Arabidopsis thaliana: one gene and its partners. The protein of the gene in region 1 purifies or fractionates together with the protein of each later gene. This does not show direct contact. Each region holds a gene or a part of one and is shown on either strand. Other genes may lie near its edges. The genes, in order: GLYR2, AT2G12200, AT2G12280 and THFS.

Region 1 (5,573 bases):
ATTTCCGACGAAGCCCAGTACCAAACCCATGAAAATGAACCGACCCATTTGACGAATTCGCGACTCTATGAGTTACTGCTCTCCGATAAGAAGGAGGATGATTCGGATTGGGAAGGAGATCATGTGAAAAAGAAGAAGAAGAAGAAGAAGAATCGAGGTAAGAAGAAGAAATCAGACATAAGAGGAGATGAATCCGGCGGCGAAAAGCAGCTCGGTGAGGGAGAAGATGGGCTTGTTTTGAATCCGAGGACAGACTCGATTTCGATATCGGAAAACAAACCGGAGTTTGTTTGTTTATATCCTTTTACATCGACGAGCAGTGCTACGCAGAGGAAGATTAAGCAGCAATACGATCAGCTTGTTAAATGCAATAATGCCAAAGGATTGACACTAGCTCAGGTCACCTTCTTTACCTTCGGTTATTAACTATTTATGGAAATCAAAATTGGAAAACGTGAATTTGAAACATAAATCCAAGTCTATTAAGCCTGTGATTTCCTTAATTAGCATCCTAAAACCTCTATGTGGTTTATATACCTTTGTGGTGTTTGTTCAATAGCCTATACTAAACTCAGTTGATAAACTAAATGATTTTTGAGTTGGGAGGTTTCAATACTTAATCATCAGCTAAGCTTGCTTCCTTTTGATATATCAGAATGATTTACTTCAATCTAAACTTTGGATTACTATAAAATTCTGCCCAGTTGAGTTTTAGATTCTGATGTTTTCTGGGTTCTTCACTTCTGTAGGTTGGGGAGTTTGCTAATTGTTTGATAGAAGCCAAAAATGAACTACAACACAAGTAAGTTAACACTACCATAACATAATATCATATACTCTCATCCATTTTCTTAGTTCTTCCTACATTTTGAGGACACAGGAATTACAAATAGTTGCTTCCTGTTCTATGCTTTGTTATGTTGATGGTGTGACATGTTGCTTTACTGAGTTAGCCTTTTCTTCTCCGGTGACACTGATTTAAGCCTGATTGTGTCTACTGTAGGTCAGAAGTAATCAAGCGCAAGTTTTCAATAACAAAAGCCCTTCTCTTTAAGGCTGATAGATCTTCCTTTGACCGACTTCGTCAACAGGTGAATTTAGCTTCATCAATTGATTGTCTGATTTTTATCCGTTTGTTGCTTTTGAAGTTAATTGTTTGTGTGTCATCAGATCTATAAGCTGGAGATGGAACAAAAAAGAGTAGAAGAAGATGCACTTGTATATAATTGGCTCCAGCAACAGCTTAAACTCTCACCTGCATACAAAAAGGTTAAAAACCAAACTCAATCACTTGTTTCCAAAGATTGTGTCCTATGTGTCCAAAACCTCAAAAATCTGTTCAATGATGTTTCTGATTCTAGATTAATCTTACTGATTGTTGTTGCTGTCTGATAAACCAGTAGAGTCTTATCTCCTGTATTGGACTCTGTTAGCATAATTGGGACTTCCCTTGAGATTTTTGGTTATCTCTAGTTAAAGCCGTTAATACTCTTTATGATACTACTATAGGTTCTTGAAATAAGCGCTTCCATGGAACTCAAAGACAAATCGAGCACAGAGTTAGACAATCCAGATGATGAATTTTCAGACATTTCCTTCGAAGAGCTATTGGAACAGGAAAAGAAAGACTCGTTTTGGTCAGCATTTCTCTCCATCTCTCCTCAAGCTTATTAGTAAATCTAAATTACTTGCTCATATGAATCTTGCTCCATGTATAGGCCTTTTTGAGTATTTCCGCAATCTTTCTTCATATTGCTTATCCTCTATAACCATCTTACTCTCCACTCTTGTGTTGGTTTTCAGGCATAAAAATGGAAGATTGCGAACTTGCAGAACATGATTTGGTGATTGAAACTGCCGTGAGCTCAGCAGGAAAACTGAATCCTTTTTTGATGTTCTCCTATTTTTGGTGCTGTGTATAGAGAGTTTCCTCCATAGGGATGCGTTTTCTATATAACACATTACCCGGTTTTCAAATCGATTTTTTCAGTTCGGTTTGAATCAAACTGATTCGGTTTATCTGAATTGAGCAAAGTCCAAACGTGCATGAGTATCGTACATAGTGAGGCTTTTTTCGAGAAAAAACACTGTTGATAAAAATATACAAACACAAGCATCATGACTCATGGGGGATAAATGCACTTGAACCGACCGGTACAATTATATCTGCTTGTGAATTAGCTTTAAACCGAAGCATATGCAACGCGGCCAGTGGATTTTGTTCCTCAGTAAAAATCTGTCAGTTTCCGCCTCGAAATGTGAGAATTTCGGCCACAGTCTACTAAACAAACGCACTGGCCAGTGGCTATGCCTTTGGTTTCATTATCTTTTGCTTCATCTTCTTCAAAAGCCATGGCTTTGTGCTCTATCTGTCCTCGCATCCCTCTTCGATTCAGGCCAAAACCCATTTCCCCTTTTCTCTCAAAACCTCAAATTTGTCTCGCTTACAGGGTTTACTCTTCCCTGCAATCTACTACTCCCTCTACCAGAGGTAATTTCTTGCTTTGTATTATGCATACACTGGTTTTCCAGAACTATGAATTACGTTTAAATGGATTAAATTATGAAGTGTCGCTCTCTTTTTAGGACAAAACCCACAAGTTTCGAGAAAGATGATCGAATACTATAATCTCCTTATCTTTATCCTTTTTGGGGTAGTCTTATCTGAGGAATTGTGGTTCGTATGGCAGATGAACTTGGAACTGTTAGCATTGGGTTTCTGGGTATGGGAATCATGGGTTCTCCAATGGCACAGAACCTCATCAAAGCTGGGTAAAAAAGTTTTGATTTTTATGTGTAGACAATCTAATTCACATCAATTTTGCTACTTTACCTCTTTTTGATGTATTGATGATACTTACGTTGATCTTTCTGGGGCTTGGTTGTTAGGTGTGATGTGACTGTATGGAATCGAACTAAGAGCAAATGTGATCCTCTCGTTGGATTAGGAGCAAAGTAAGAGTTCCAATGCTTCTTATAAAGAATGATATTATTTACTCCGAGTGAGGTTTTAGAGCTAACGTAGAAGAAAAATTTAACGATTAAGAAAGTATCTCCCTTTGTTGCAGGTACAAGTCTTCTCCTGAAGAAGTGACTGCAACTTGTGATCTCACATTTGCAATGCTTGCTGATCCTGAAAGTGCAGTGCGTATGTCTCACTTTTGTTTGCGTCTCTTTTTCTTCTACTTTCACTCCATATTAAAACAAAAACTGTATTTTGCTTTCTGTCAGATTGATGTTGCATGTGGAAAGAATGGAGCCATATTTGGGATTAGTTCAGGAAAAGGGTACTTACTCCTTCATGAGACTTATGCTGGATATAACGTTCTATTGCTGAAATGTTTCAAGATATCTGTATTTCTTATGTAACTACAGAAGAGTTCACAGTCGTTCTTTTTTAATTTCTTCTTCGAATCTATATAGTAATGTGGTCGATACTTTCTGGTAAAAATGGGACTTGCCTTGCTACTGCAGGTATGTTGATGTCTCAACCGTTGATGTGGCCTCATCAATACTAATCAGCAAGCAAATAAAGGATACCGGAGCCTTGTTCTTGGAGGTAAAGGCTCTTAGTTAATCTATATCTAGAATCACTAAAAAACCTTGTAACAGATCTGGTGGCTTAAGTCATTTCTATTTTTGATATTCATAGGCACCAGTTTCAGGTTCCAAAAAGCCTGCCGAAGATGGGCAGTTAATATTTCTCACTGCAGGTTCGTAACAGCTTACTCCTCATTGAGCTTGTATTAATAATCGATCATCACTTTTGCATATCAGATTATTTTGTCTTCGCGGGTGACTTGCCTGTATTTTCTAACATGGTTGAATCATGAATGAAATGGAGATTTATGACTATCTGGCACTTGACATTTTAGGTGACAAGCCGCTATACGAAAAAGCTGCTCCTTTCTTAGACATCATGGGAAAGGTATCTCTTTTGCCTGTGTTTTGCTTTTAGTTCTTTTTTCTTCTGCAAATGAACCATTTTCGTTACTAGTTTGCATTATATGATCCAGTCAAAATTCTATTTGGGTGAAGTTGGTAATGGAGCAGCAATGAAACTTGTCGTCAACATGATCATGGGAAGGTATCATTTGACCATCTATCGCTTCATTTCTTGGCAAATTCCAGATTCTTCTTCTGATCTCTTTTTCTCTTTACCTATGCAGTATGATGGCATCATTCGCGGAGGGAATACTTCTAAGCCAGAAAGTTGGACTCGATCCAAATGTACTTGTCGAGGTAACTAAAACACCATTGTCCAGCAGAAAGTTTCTTACCAAATGTGCTATAAACCCCGGGAAATTTTTTTCTGCAGGTTGTCTCACAGGGAGCTATCAATGCGCCAATGTACTCACTAAAGGGTCCTTCAATGATCAAGTCAGTGTACCCGACGGCTTTTCCATTAAAGCATCAGCAGAAGGTTTGTGTAATTGTGTTACTTTCTTTTTTTAGATTCTCACAAAGACTCTGGAGTTTGATGAGACTGTAATTGACTTTTATCCGTCTATAGGATATGAGACTCGCACTTGGACTAGCGGAATCCGTATCGCAATCTACTCCGATTGCAGCCGCTGCGAACGAGCTTTACAAGGTTGCAAAATCTTATGGGTTGAGCGATGAAGATTTCTCTGCAGTAATTGAAGCACTAAAAGCTGCAAAATCCCGAGAAGCTTAGCTAAAGATTTGTTCAATGTGAAAATGTGTTTTTTTTTGCTGTTGTATGAAAAATTTCATCTTTACAACATGTCAATTGATAATTGTTAATTTTATATGAGAGCAAGTTAAAAGTGTCAAACACAAGTCAACCTTTGATCTCCTGATGTTGACAAAAGCAACAAAGAAAAGTGTTTGACCAACGTTGACTACAATAAATACGGCGCCGTTTCGGATATTCCGATGATAAGTTGATAACACCGAATCATTTGTTTCAAAAAATTCTTCAGTGCCTGAAGTGTTAAAATTCTCGCCTGAGCTCGTTGCCGTTTCCACTTCAACCATATTGGTTAGGGTTCTTTCTCTTCCAAGATAAGAAATTTTGAATGTTTGATGTCATAACTTTGAATCAAGTAATCGAAATTGGAGAAAAAAAATTCATTTTTTAAGTTTGGGTTTTCATCATAGACAGACGGAGAAATTAAAAGGTTTTGTTTTGACTCAGCTGCAGTGATCGATGGATTATAACTCAGATCGTGGTTATGATGACTCTTACCATCATCACGTACACGACGAACAATTACCACAATCGGATTTTGAAGTGGAGACCTTTGATGACCGGAGGAACGGTGGTGCAGCCGTTGATACTGGTGGGATTCAGATGAAGCATTCCGTTGACCATCGCCATTCTTCTTCGTCCATGTCTTCTCCTGGGTTCGTGGTTTCTTAGGCTTTATCTTTTTGTATGGATTTACTTTTGATATTAATCTCTTCTCAGCGGAGCTGGTTATTAAGATATTGATGGGGAGGTTTCTTGTGGTGCCTTTTGTCTTTGTTTATGTTAGGAAACTGTTCGTAGGTGGAGTTTCTTGGGAAACAACTGCAGGTATGGTTCATTTTCATCGTCTTAGTCATGT
Region 2 (3,321 bases), on another chromosome or scaffold:
AGGTTTGGGGATTGATAAAGAACAGAATACAGAAATACTACTTTTCCACATTAAAGCAATTCCACCACTTAGACCATTTGGAGGAACCATTACAACCCTATCATAACCTACATCGCTGCAAATATCTCTGACGATGTCATTCCTTTACTTCGTTTCCATGAGAACAATGATGTCTGGAGAGAATTTCTTCTTTATCTCCTTTAGACGTCGAACTGCGAGGTCATTGCCCAGTCCTCTGCAGTTCCAAGCGGCTGTCCTCATGGAGGAAGAGGGGGTTCTGGGCCCACCGCGCCTCTCCCCACGTCATTCGGCTGAACCGTCTCTCCGGAGCAACCACTGCTTTCCCCAGCCTCACGGATCACCATCTTAGAAGGCTCGTGTTCTTCATCTTCTTCGATGGTGTCCTCTCTCTTGCGTTTGCCCCTATCCGCTGCCACATCCTCACGAACATAGTCTCTGTTCACTCCATTATTTGTTTCCATCTCTCCATGGTACGTGGAGTAACGACATGGCTCCCAATCCTGGAAATCTTCCACGGCTTCATGATGGGCATTCATCACTAATGAGAGTTATTTTATTTATTATTGTCCACGTATTTATTTTGTTTTTAATGTATTTTTTTTTTTTTTTGCCTTTTACAGTTCCTAATCCAGATTTAAATCTGGATATAACCCTATAAATTATAAGATATACTCGTCCACATAATATTATCAAGTTTTTTAGTTTTTTAGAAAATAAAAATCTATTCTAAAATTTGAGAAAATCAAGTGAGATAATTTTGTGCCTCACAAGTCACGAGATTACTTAGCTCGGAAGGGTTTTGGGCTCTACGTGTGAAAGGCATAAGATATTTTAGTTACTTTTATGCTTTACAATTTACATTACTAGAGTACAAACAAAACAACAGCTATCATGGATTTTTATGACATCATCAATTTACGTGTGTCATTTGAGATTTATAATCTTTATTTTATTATCACTTCTATTTTGTTTTAATGAGTTCAAGATCTTTTCTTGAAAGACATATGAAGACTTTAACCCAAAAAGCTAAGTATTGTCTTTGATGAAACTTTGAAATCGAGAAGTTTTCAAAATTTTAAACGATGTCAACCAGTATTTTTTATTTATAAAACAGTATTTTTCTCTAAATATTTGACAAGATTTTTTTACCCCCGCATTAGCTAAAACCCATTTTCGTACATATGTTTACAAACAGTGTCCGCTCAACAATTTCATGGGTGTAGGATAATTTTTTTTTATATTTTGTTATAAAATTTTTTGTATGATAATTTAGTTAACAAAAAAAAAAAAAATGCATTAAAAAAATTATAGGTCCATTCTAAATTTTATTTTTGTGTTATATCTAATTTTTAAAAATATTTTTTAAAAAATATATGTCCCTTAATTGTTAAAACATGGGTTTGGATTCTTGGCTGTCGCACCGCTTGCCCCTCTATTTAAACCGGCACTGTTTACAAATTAAACATTATAGAAAATAATTCTTAAAAACCGGACTAAGTAATGAAAATTTTAAATTACAAAAACGAAGAATACTAGGAAGCTAGAACTAGGGAAGAAAACTTGAAGCACCACATTAGTCAAAGAGATCGAAGAAAGAAGCCATTCTCTAAGAAAATTTACCATTAAGATTGACTATGCACTTTATTTAAAACACTTGCCAATATATCTTTTTCAAAAGTTTTTTTTTCATAACTCATATTAAGACTTTCATCTTCAAATTAAAGGGGGATGAGCTTTCCGGATGATACTTAGACCTGAGTTGAGTCAAAATCGCATCTCCCTACAAACAAGTTCATCATAAACCAGTCGTAGGGTCCAAAGACTTTCACGATCCATTAAACTGACATCTTAGTGTTCAAAGATATTTTTCTTGGTGTTCTAAAACATATATCTTCTGAACATGGCTCAATTGTGACTCCTCTCAAGAAAATTTAAAGGACTTGGGGGAGGACTATATTATTATTTTTAGTTCCCCTTAAATATCCACATAATAATTACTGTTTGTTGTTTTCTTTTTAATTCAAACATACACCATTCCAAAGAGACCTTTGATAGTTTTCTTTACTAAAATATTATTGAAAATTACTTATAAGATTTATTATTAACATGTTTTAGATTGAAAATTGCTCATACAGGCACATAAACAGATTGAGATGTACACACAACAAGGCTTCTCGAATCTTCCCATATGCATGTCGAAAACGCAGTACTCATTCTCACATGATACATCAAAGAAAAGAGCACCTTCAGGGTTTGTATTGCCAATTCGGGATGTTAGAGGAAGCATTGGAGCTGGTTTCATATACACTACAAAAAAAGTCCTCATTGATAGCAGTAGAGGATAGCTCATTTTCCTCAACTGCTATAAAAGATGAATAAAATTTTTGGTTACTTTTTAATAGCACCTTATAAACGCTAAGACCGTAAATCCTCTAGCGGGAATGTAAAATACTTTAGTCCGCCAACACTTAGGTAAAATTATTCACTTCAGCGCCAACACTTAAGCAAAACTATTCACTTCCCTCTACAGCTTCGTGAAAACCTAAGAAAATCGAGAAGACCAAAATTATTCACTTTTGCCTTAGATCTGTCGAATCCACTCCCAAAATCGATTCAACCTAAAAGCTAAGATCTGTCGCTGGCCAGAAATTCGGATTCTCCGCCGCCACATTCTCCAGCTCAGCCACCGTTGAGCTCAAATTCAAGGTTAGTCTTTCTTCCTTATTCCTTATTAATCCATTTCAGCTTCCATCTTTCTCGCATTTTGACCTAATCTCATAGAATCGACTTTCATTTTGCAGCCACCAGTGAGCTCTAACCTTGTCGCAGCCACCAGTGAGCTCTAACCTTGTCGCAGCCACCACTGAGCTCAAAATCAAGGCATGTCTTACTCTCAATTTGACCTAGTTCTTTGTGACGATTTGATTTTGGGGTTTATATGCATCGATTTGTTATATTTAGGGCAATGTGATTTGAATGGAATTAGGAAGTGAAACTTTTCTTTTTTCTTATACTGATTATCGTTTTGGGGTTTATATGCATCGATTTGTGATTTGATTTAGAGTTCTTAAACGTTTTGCTTCAACTTATACTCATAATCGTTTTTTTTTATCAAGTGTTGGTGATTGCAATGTCGAGGAAGTGAAACTTTTCTTCTTCTATTCACACGACTACAGGTTAGTCACACGACAGATTCAATTGTTCTGTTCTTTACTTATGAGTTGTATGAACTTAAGTTGTTGTGATTCTTTTGTTCTGTTCTTTACTGAAGTTGATGTGATTGTTGTCGATTGGTTTTAT
Region 3 (3,407 bases), on another chromosome or scaffold:
GTTTGAATAAACAATATTATTTAAAATGGGAAAGTTAGGATACTTTACATTTATGTTAATTATTTTTTCAGGCAAAAGTGTTGTGGATGTCGGATTCACACGCTCAAGTATTTATTTGTTTTGTGAGATGGATTAATTTTTGAGGACAAAGATAAAATGTAAAAGCTAAAAATTGATATCAAAATGACTATCGAAAATTGCTAGAAAAATTGTGGGTGTCTTACATGGTCCAAGACCTCTCTTATTTATACAAAAACCTAGTAATTATTCTTAATTATACACCATAATTCTCTTTTAACTCTTCCGTTTCCGTCTTTGGATTTAATGCTTTCAACGTTCGAATTTGAATTGACTTTAATCTTCCATGGGCCTTACTATTCGGCCCACAATACGTGAATCGAGATGCCCTCATTTCGGCATGGCATCCAATTTGTGCCTCTCAGTGCATGATTTCTGCAAGATGTTCTGATTCATAAATCTCCAATGCCTCTGATGATTTCACATAAAACGATTTTTCAAAAGAAAACATTGTCACTCATTTGCTTTATGCTTTGTTTTTGAACATCACAAGTTCTATGTGTAACGTTACCTTGAGTTCAACTTCAAATAATGAGTATTTCAGAGATTAATTAATCAACAGGAAAAGATACTTTATTATTATTCATTTCAAAGAGGAAAAACACTCAGTATCAAAGTACAATCGCCAAATTTTTATTGAGGAAGTGAGGAACGACGGTGAAGGGAAGCCTTGAAGCTTTGACTGATATCAATCTCATAGAAACAAGGTCTTGTAGGAAGTCCAGGCATTGTACTCATTGTACCAACCAGTGGATATATGAAACCAGCTCCAATGCTTCCTCTAACATCCCGAATTGGCAATACAAACCCTGAAGGTGCTCCTTTCTTTGATGCATCATGTGAGAATGAGTACTGCGTTTTCGACATGCATATGGGAAGATTCGAGAAGCCTTGTTGTGTGTACATCTCAATCTGTTTATGTGCCTGTATGAGCAATTTTCAATCTAAAACATGTTAATAATAAATCTTATAAGTAATTTTCAATAATATTTTAGTAAAGAAAACTATCAAAGGTCTCTTTGGAATGGTGTATGTTTGAATTAAAAAGAAAACAACAAACAGTAATTATTATGTGGATATTTAAGGGGAACTAAAAATAATAATATAGTCCTCCCCAAGTCCTTTAAATTTTCTTGAGAGGAGTCACAATTGAGCCATGTTCAGAAGATATATGTTTTAGAACACCAAGAAAAATGTCTTTAAACACTAAGATGTCAGTTTAATGGATCGTGAAAGTCTTTGGACCCTACGACTGGTTTATGATGAACTTGTTTGTAGGGAGATGCGATTTTGACTCAACTCAGGTCTAAGTATCATCCGGAAAGCTCATCCCCCTTTAATTTGAAGATGAAAGTCTTAATATGAGTTATGAAAAAAAAACTTTTGAAAAAGATATATTGGCAAGTGTTTTAAATAAAGTGCATAGTCAATCTTAATGGTAAATTTTCTTAGAGAATGGCTTCTTTCTTCGATCTCTTTGACTAATGTGGTGCTTCAAGTTTTCTTCCCTAGTTCTCGCTTCCTAGTATTCTTCATTTTTGTAATTTAAAATTTTCATTACTTAGTCCGGTTTTTAAGAATTATTTTCTATAATGTTTAATTTGTAAACAGTGCCGGTTTAAATAGAGGGGTAAGCGGTGCGACAGCCAAGAATCCAAACCCATGTTTTAACAATTAAGGGACATATATTTTTTTAAAAATATTTTTAAAAATTAGATATAACACAAAAATAAAATTTAGAATGGACCTATAATTTTTTTAATGCATTGTTTTTTTTTTTGTTAACTAAATTATCATACAAAAAATTTTATAACAAAATATAAAAAAAAATTATCCTACACCCATGAAATTGTTGAGCGGACATTGTTTGTAAACATATGTACGAAAATGGGTTTTAGCTAATGCGGGGGTAAAAAAATCTTGTCAAATATTTAGAGAAAAATACTGTTTTATAAATAAAAAATACTGGTTGACATCGTTTAAAATTTTGAAAACTTCTCGATTTCAAAGTTTCATCAAAGACAATACTTAGCTTTTTGGGTTAAAGTCTTCATATGTCTTTCAAGAAAAGATCTTGAACTCATTAAAACAAAATAGAAGTGATAATAAAGTAAAGATTATAAATCTCAAATGACACACGTAAATTGATGATGTCATAAAAATCCATGATAGCTGTTGTTTTGTTTGTACTCTAGTAATGTAAATTGTAAAGCATAAAAGTAACTAAAATATCTTATGCCTTTCACACGTAGAGCCCAAAACCCTTCCGAGCTAAGTAATCTCGTGACTTGTGAGGCACAAAATTGTCTCACTTGATTTTCTCTCTAATTTTAGAATAGATTTTTATTTTCTAAAAAACTAAAAAACTTGATAATATTATGTGGACGAGTATATCTTATAATTTATAGGGTTATATCCAGATTTAAATCTGGATTAGGAACTGTAAAAGGCAAAAAAAAAAAAAATACATTAAAAACAAAATAAATACGTGGACAATAATAAATAAAATAACTCTCATTAGTGATGAATGCCCATCATGAAGCCGTGGAAGATTTCCAGGATTGGGAGCCATGTCGTTACTCCACGTACCATGGAGAGATGAAAACAAATAATGGAGTGAACAGAGACTATGTTCGTGAGGATGTGGCAGCGGATAGGGGCAAACACAAGAGAGAGGACACCATCGAAGAAGATGAAGAACACGAGCCTTCTAAGATGGTGATCCATGAGGCTGGGGAAAGCAGTGGTTGCTCCGGAGAGACGGTTCAGCCGAATGACGTGGGGAGAAGCGCGGTGGGCCCAGAACCCCCTCTTCCTCCATGAGGACAGCCGCTTGGAACTGTAGAGGACTGGGCAATGACCTCGCAGTTCGACGTCTAAAGGAGATAAAGAAGAAATTCTCTCCAGACATCATTGTTCTCATGGAAACGAAGTAAAAGAATGACATCGTCAGAGATATTTGCAGCGATGTAGGTTATGATAGGGTTGTAATGGTTCCTCCAAATGATCTAAGTGGTGGAATTGCTTTAATGTGGAAAAGTAGTATTTCTGTATTCTGTTCTTTATCAATCCCCAAACCTTGTAAATACTTTTGTTAATATTAATGGATTTGGGTTCTATTTATCTTGTGTATATGGTCACCCAAATCCTATCCATAGACACTTGGTTTGGGAAAGATTAGAACGAACAGCAACACAAAGAACAGGTCCTTGGATGGCTATAGGGGACTTCAATGAAATACGAGGCAACCATGAGAAAAAAGGAGGCAACTTGAAGCCAGAAAGCTCTTTCTTTGATTTCAGGAAAATGATACAAACCTGTGACTTCCA
Region 4 (5,892 bases), about 13 Mb from region 1:
CAGGAAGCAAAGATACTGTGTTTGAAGGAACTGAGTACAGACTCTCACTCTCTTTCTCCAATGACTATCCTTTCAAGCCTCCAAAGGTTAAGTTTGAGACATGTTGCTTCCACCCCAATGTTGATGTCTATGGCAATATCTGCTTAGACATTCTTCAGGTAAAAATATACCTTCCTCTTGTGTCTTTGTTCTACACTGAATCAGAGAAGACGTGCCAAAGTTAATCCGTTTACAACATTTTCATATTTGCAGGATAAGTGGTCATCTGCTTACGATGTGAGGACGATACTACTATCGATTCAGAGCCTCCTGGGAGGTATTCTATGGTGCATAACTTTTGATTTCTTGTTAGCCCTTTTTGTTGGTTAATCCAATATCTGATACATGTTTTCGTTGATCAGAACCGAACATCAGTTCACCATTGAACACTCAAGCAGCTCAGCTTTGGAGTAACCAAGAAGGTAAACAGACAGGGGATTTAACAGTCGTTATGAAATCAAACTTCTTTAGAGTACCACAGTTATGAGTTTCTTATGTCTCTTTTGTTTCTCCATACGCAGAGTACAGGAAGATGGTTGAGAAGCTTTACAAGCCTCCAAGTGCATGATTTCTGCAAGCTGTTCTGATTCATAAATCTCCAATGCCTCTGATGATTTCACATAAAACGATTTTTCAGAAGAAAACACTGTCATTCATTTGCTTTATTCTTTGTTTTTGAACATCAGAAGTTCTATCTGTAACGTTACCTTGAGTTCAAATAATGAGTAGTATTTCAGAGATTAATCAAAAGGAAAAGATACTTTATTATTATTCATCTTAAAATGGAAAAACACTCAGTATCAAAGTACAATCGCCAAATTTTTATTGTGGAAGTGAGAAACGACGATGAAGGAAAGCCTTGAAGCTTTGACAGATCTACCAAACTTAAGAAAGGCCACGAACTTTTCCAGTTTCAGTGTCAATATCAATCTCGTAGAAACAAGGTCTTGTAGGAAGTCCAGGCATTGTACTCATTGTACCAACCAGTGGATATATGAAACCAGCTCCAATGCTTCCTCTTACATCCCTAATTGGCAATACAAACCCTGAAGGTGCTCCTTTCTTTGATGCATCATGTGAGAATGAGTACTGTGTTTTCGACATGCATATGGGAAGATTCGAGAAGCCTTGTTGTGTGTACATCTCAATCTGTTTCTCTGCCTGTATTTTACATATCACAGGATAATAGATAAGTTACATAAACAGGTTTCTTTTGACAACAATGCAAAGAAATTGAAGAAGTCGGTCTAGGAATCAATCACCTGGTCTGAATATTCAACACCACTGGCTCCATATGACTTAGCTATTGCCTCAATTTTGTCTTTGATACCAATGTCCAATGGGTAGAGAAACCTGAGGGGCTGTGTAATGTTTTGACAAGCTTTTTCAACCGCGATACCAAGATCCACCTATAACATTTACAAGAACAATTCATCTATCAATAAGATGAGATTGCAAACAAAATTGCATATAATCACATAGTGTTGGTCTCGAATAGAGAAGATTACCGCTCCTTTACCACTATGAGCATGGTGGGAGCAGACCACAGCATCAAAAGCACCGGCATCCATTGAAAATTTCCTAACTGCATTTAGTTCTGCTTCGGTATCTGTTGCGAACATATTCACAGCAACAATTACATTCACACCGTAGGCCTTTGTGTTTGAGATGTGCTTTGCCAGATTCACACAGCCAGCTTCAACTAAGGAAACATTCTCGCTTACATAAGCACGATCAAGAGGTCTCCCGGCAACAACATCAGGCCCACCTCCATGCATTTTCAAAGCCCTAACAGTCGCCACAACAATTGCACACTGAGGCGTTAGCCCACTGTAACGGCACTTAATATTCATGAACTTCTCTGTTCCAATATCAGAACCAAAACCCGCTTCAGTTACCACAAATCCACCAGGTCCCACCAGCTTCAAAGCGATTTTATCAGCAACAATCGATGAATTTCCATGAGCTATATTTGCAAAAGGACCAGCATGCACTAGAACAGGGGTCCCTTCCAGTGTCTGCATGAGTGTCGGGTTAATAGCGTCTTTCATCAGAACAGTCAAGGCTCCTCCAACACCGAGATCATCTGCTGTTATCGGATCCCCTGCCTTGCTGTTACCAATCACCATTTTACCAAGCCTCTCTCTCATATCACCTAGTGAGGTTGTCAAAGCCAAAACAGCCATAATCTCACTAGCAACAGAAATGTCAAAACCAGTTTCTCTAGTCATCCCCTTTTCCTCAGGTCCCTGACCAATAGTAATCTTCCTCAAGAACCGATCATTAACATCCATCACTCTTCTCCAAGTGATAGAAGCAGGATCAATATCAAGCCTCGCAAACTTCTTTATCTCCTCGGGAGTAAGCTCCTCAGGACTGGTCTTGGATATCCCAAGCTTTGTCAATCTCCTGAACATAATGTCACTGAAACTACGCTTCCCTTCTTTATTCGGAGGGCACAGCCTATTAAAAAGAGCCTTGTCGGATTGAGACGTCTCATGGAAAATCCGAGTGTCGATTGCAGCAGCTAAGAGGTTGTTGGAAGCGGTAATCGCGTGAATATCTCCAGTGAGATGAAGATTGAACTCATCCATAGGAATCACCTGACTATACCCACCACCAGCTGCACCTCCTTTGATTCCAAAGGTGGGTCCTTGTGACGGTTGGCGAAGACAAGTAACAACCTAAGCAACAACACTTCACAAATCAATACAAAGAGAGAAGTTTGTCCAAAAGCAAGCATAAGGCATAAGCTAATAAATGAAAGCAAGAGAGAACCTTCTTATCGAGGTAAGCGCCTAAGGCTTGGCAAAGTCCAACAGTGGTAGTACTCTTGCCTTCTCCAAGAGGAGTAGGAGTAATCCCTCCAACAACAACATAGTATCCATCTTCTTGTCCTTGAAGCTCATCAAACGCAGACAACAAAACCTACAAGAACAAATCATCAGTTGATTAGCTCAGAACACTGAACCATTGGTTTAACCAGCTTCTGATGTTTTTGGTGAAACTAAAGTATCAATCTTGCCCACCGACAAAAAAGAAGTAACAGCAAATTAACAAGAAAAGAGAGCTACTTGGTAGGAAAATGGTAATATGAATCCAAAATCAATCGAAAGTTATAAACTTTGAGCTTACGTAACTGCCTACTCAAGCTCCAAAAACTCAATCATTAACAATCTCTTGAAAATTTATTTAAGTTTGATCGAAACCAATTCGAACATAATAGTATCTTATAACCAAAAACGGAGTTCTTTTGGATCCTTGTACCGACAACAACATAGAGACAGAGGAAGATTCAGATGAATAATTTAATTTTCAAAGGGAAATGAACAAAAGGGAAAAATGATGATTACCTTAGCTTTATACTTGCCATAGAGATCGTAGTGAAGAGGGTTGATATTAAGATCTTTGGCAATCTCAGAGATGTGTAAAGGCTCGACGGAATTAGCTATGTCGATATCGGCGGGAACTGGTGAAACAACCTCAAGCTTTCTTGTTGATGAACTCATCGCACTCTCTGTCGAAGTCTGATCTCGCGTTGGAGGATGAGAAGATGGATGAGGGACTCTGATGAATTGATGATGTTTTATAAAACTTTAAAGCACATCCTAATATATTACAGTAAGTAGCAAATACATGTTTAGATCATTATCCATATTAACCAATGAGAACGATGACGTTTTTGTTTTTTTCCCTCTTTTTCACCTCTTAATAAATATATTTTCAACACACATAATTATTGAAGGCCAGAAAATGACGGTTTCGCCCTCGATCTATAAGCGCAGCCACTATAGTTTAGTTTGGCCCACTGTTGTCGTCAATTTAAACTAGTACTATACTAGAAAAGAGAATGGAACTCGGATTTGTTAGGCTACCAATTTTCTTTAATCTTTACATAATACTTCTTAAGACTGTACTATTAAATTTGTTATTTTTAATAAAATACTGTTGTTTTTGAACTATTCCAATACAGTTTCTATAGATTTACAGGAAGCCACATTTCTTTTCATTTAAACCATCATTTTCATTGCACCAATACTATTTTATTATACAACGATGATAGTTTTTGTCAACATGTATAATGTATTGGGGTGAACGGATTCCGAGGTGTCTTGATAAATGGTGCCAATTTTTCCTCTCGACAGATATGGTGTATAGAGTTTTAGACTTAGAATTGAAGAGGCACGAGAGGGTCAACTATTGATGAATCAGTAACCTTGAAGCAATATATATTTTAAGCAATCTATATAAAAGCCCTATGGAATATGTCTAGGACTAAGCCTTCTTTGCGTATCTTACATAGTGAAATCGATGTCATATTAGTCCATTAACATAAAATGGGCTTACAGCTTTAGCATTTTCTGACCCAAAATGAGGCAAAGAAACGACGTCATTTAATATAAAGTTATCCATCCATTTCCTAAAGAAGATAAAATGGATGCAACCAAAGAGAATCAGAATTTTGATTTAGGATGGGTTTGACATTCTTATTGTGTGATAGATAACGTAGTTTAAAAGCAATACAAATGTAGTAGATCAAGTTGAAACAGAAAAGAAAGAAGAACATAAAGAGAAGAAAATCCCAAATAACAATGATATGATGATGCTGCTGAGAATAATAAACAGAAAAGGGCTATTCCAAAGGAGGAGCTCGATGCTATCAATGATGCTGAAACCTTTTTTGCAGAAATCTTTTTCCGGGAAAGTGTGTCAAACACAAATTTAGGGAAAGTGGTAGGTTTAGTGAAAAGTGATATTGAGAAGAAGAAGAGAAGCAGCATGCAAGAGACAAGTTTAATGAAAGTGATAGATACCAAAACTTGTATGAGTTTGGTTGTATGAATACTTGTATTTGTATTGAAAGATATTGTCTTGCAAAAATTTGATTTTTTTTTTCTTGAGAACCTACCATTGGAGGACATTTTTGTTAAGATAGTTTCTTTGAACCTACCATTGTGGTTTGGGACCCATTCTAGAAGAAAACCATATGGATCCAACCGATAAATCGTCATGACAAGATATTCGAGGTCTATGCTCTCGGTTACAATAACAAGGACTTGTGCCATAACTACAAAATCTTGAGGTTTATAGATATATGCTTGGAAGTCTATGATTTTAGCTCTAATTTATGGAGGAGTTTCTTGATGTCGTCTCTCCCGAAGACGACTTAGTATCCACTGGCAAGTCGTTGAAGGGAAATGGTTACTCATTGCTCAGTTTTGTTTTTTTCAACAGAGAGGTTTCAACTACTATGTGTGCCCTTTCATCAAGAAGCTGCAGAAGTAAATGATATTAAGGCTCTCTCAGTTGTTAGAGAAGAACATCTCTCCTTATTATATCAGAGTGCAAAGAAACTAAAGATGGATATAAGGGTGACCAATGAGATTGAGACAGTGGATTTAAAACCCCATGGTTGTTTGTTTTCGAGTTCCCTAAGTTTCCACATTGACGAAGAGAAGAAAGTTGCTGTTTGCGGTGAGAAAGTCATATACAACAAGATATACATTGTTGGAGAAGATAAATACACAAGGTATATCGATCTTCTGGTTTCGGTAGCTTTGATGGTCGGTTAAGTGTGTTTACGTATGTTCAAAGATTGATTTAAATCCAACAATATGTAATATCCTGTTGGACATTGATCATTTTGTATATATTATCATCTTAAATGTTTTATTCACATCTTCTGGATCTAATAAAAAAAAACATAACAAGATTTAATTTGACTAGTCCAGAGAGACAAGCAAAGTACCTTTAAAAATAATGAGAAAGTCTCATAGTCAATTAGTCATAGATTCCTTGTAAAGAGGTAGAGATTTGCATGATTCAGCGTCAAGCCGTCAATCATAATATTAC

Evidence for each region.
Region 2: the proteins of GLYR2 (region 1) and AT2G12200 fractionate together in Arabidopsis thaliana (co-fractionation; one large-scale study listed by BioGRID). This does not show direct contact.
Region 3: the proteins of GLYR2 (region 1) and AT2G12280 fractionate together in Arabidopsis thaliana (co-fractionation; one large-scale study listed by BioGRID). This does not show direct contact.
Region 4: the proteins of GLYR2 (region 1) and THFS fractionate together in Arabidopsis thaliana (co-fractionation; one large-scale study listed by BioGRID). This does not show direct contact.

Annotation. Positions count from the first base shown.
Region 1 is NC_003070.9:6,068,699-6,074,271, reverse strand, and holds GLYR2 (glyoxylate reductase 2), read left to right. Parts: upstream 1-2,142; 5' UTR 2,143-2,307; coding exon 2,308-2,491; intron 2,492-2,586; exon of another isoform or gene 2,587-2,683; coding exon of another isoform or gene 2,684-2,690; coding exon 2,691-2,772; intron 2,773-2,889; coding exon 2,890-2,955; intron 2,956-3,068; coding exon 3,069-3,144; intron 3,145-3,231; coding exon 3,232-3,287; intron 3,288-3,474; coding exon 3,475-3,559; intron 3,560-3,652; coding exon 3,653-3,713; intron 3,714-3,875; coding exon 3,876-3,928; intron 3,929-4,016; coding exon 4,017-4,087; intron 4,088-4,169; coding exon 4,170-4,242; intron 4,243-4,318; coding exon 4,319-4,423; intron 4,424-4,513; coding exon 4,514-4,678; 3' UTR 4,679-4,848; downstream 4,849-5,573. Other genes in the region: AT1G17665 (CA-responsive protein), read left to right, coding at 1-399, 750-802, 1,004-1,091, 1,171-1,269, 1,510-1,637, 1,804-1,840; AT1G17640 (RNA-binding (RRM/RBD/RNP motifs) family protein), read left to right, coding at 5,174-5,370, 5,502-5,542. UniProt on the Arabidopsis thaliana protein: Catalyzes the NADPH-dependent reduction of glyoxylate to glycolate as well as succinic semialdehyde (SSA) to gamma-hydroxybutyrate in vitro.
Region 2 is NC_003071.7:4,898,477-4,901,797, forward strand, and holds AT2G12200 (P-loop containing nucleoside triphosphate hydrolases superfamily protein), read left to right. Parts: upstream 1-2,136; 5' UTR 2,137-2,174; coding exon 2,175-2,339; intron 2,340-2,441; coding exon 2,442-2,468; downstream 2,469-3,321.
Region 3 is NC_003071.7:4,919,901-4,923,307, reverse strand, and holds AT2G12280 (P-loop containing nucleoside triphosphate hydrolases superfamily protein), read right to left. Parts: upstream 1,027-3,407; 5' UTR 985-1,026; coding exon 712-984; 3' UTR 629-711; downstream 1-628.
Region 4 is NC_003070.9:18,699,720-18,705,611, reverse strand, and holds THFS (10-formyltetrahydrofolate synthetase), read right to left. Parts: upstream 3,731-5,892; 5' UTR 3,549-3,730; coding exon 3,393-3,548; intron 2,968-3,392; coding exon 2,818-2,967; intron 2,724-2,817; coding exon 1,548-2,723; intron 1,449-1,547; coding exon 1,302-1,448; intron 1,201-1,301; coding exon 925-1,200; 3' UTR 674-924; downstream 1-673. Other genes in the region: UBC20 (ubiquitin-conjugating enzyme 20), read left to right, coding at 1-158, 253-316, 402-461, 561-607; AT1G50470 (F-box associated ubiquitination effector family protein), read left to right, coding at 5,168-5,240, 5,320-5,612.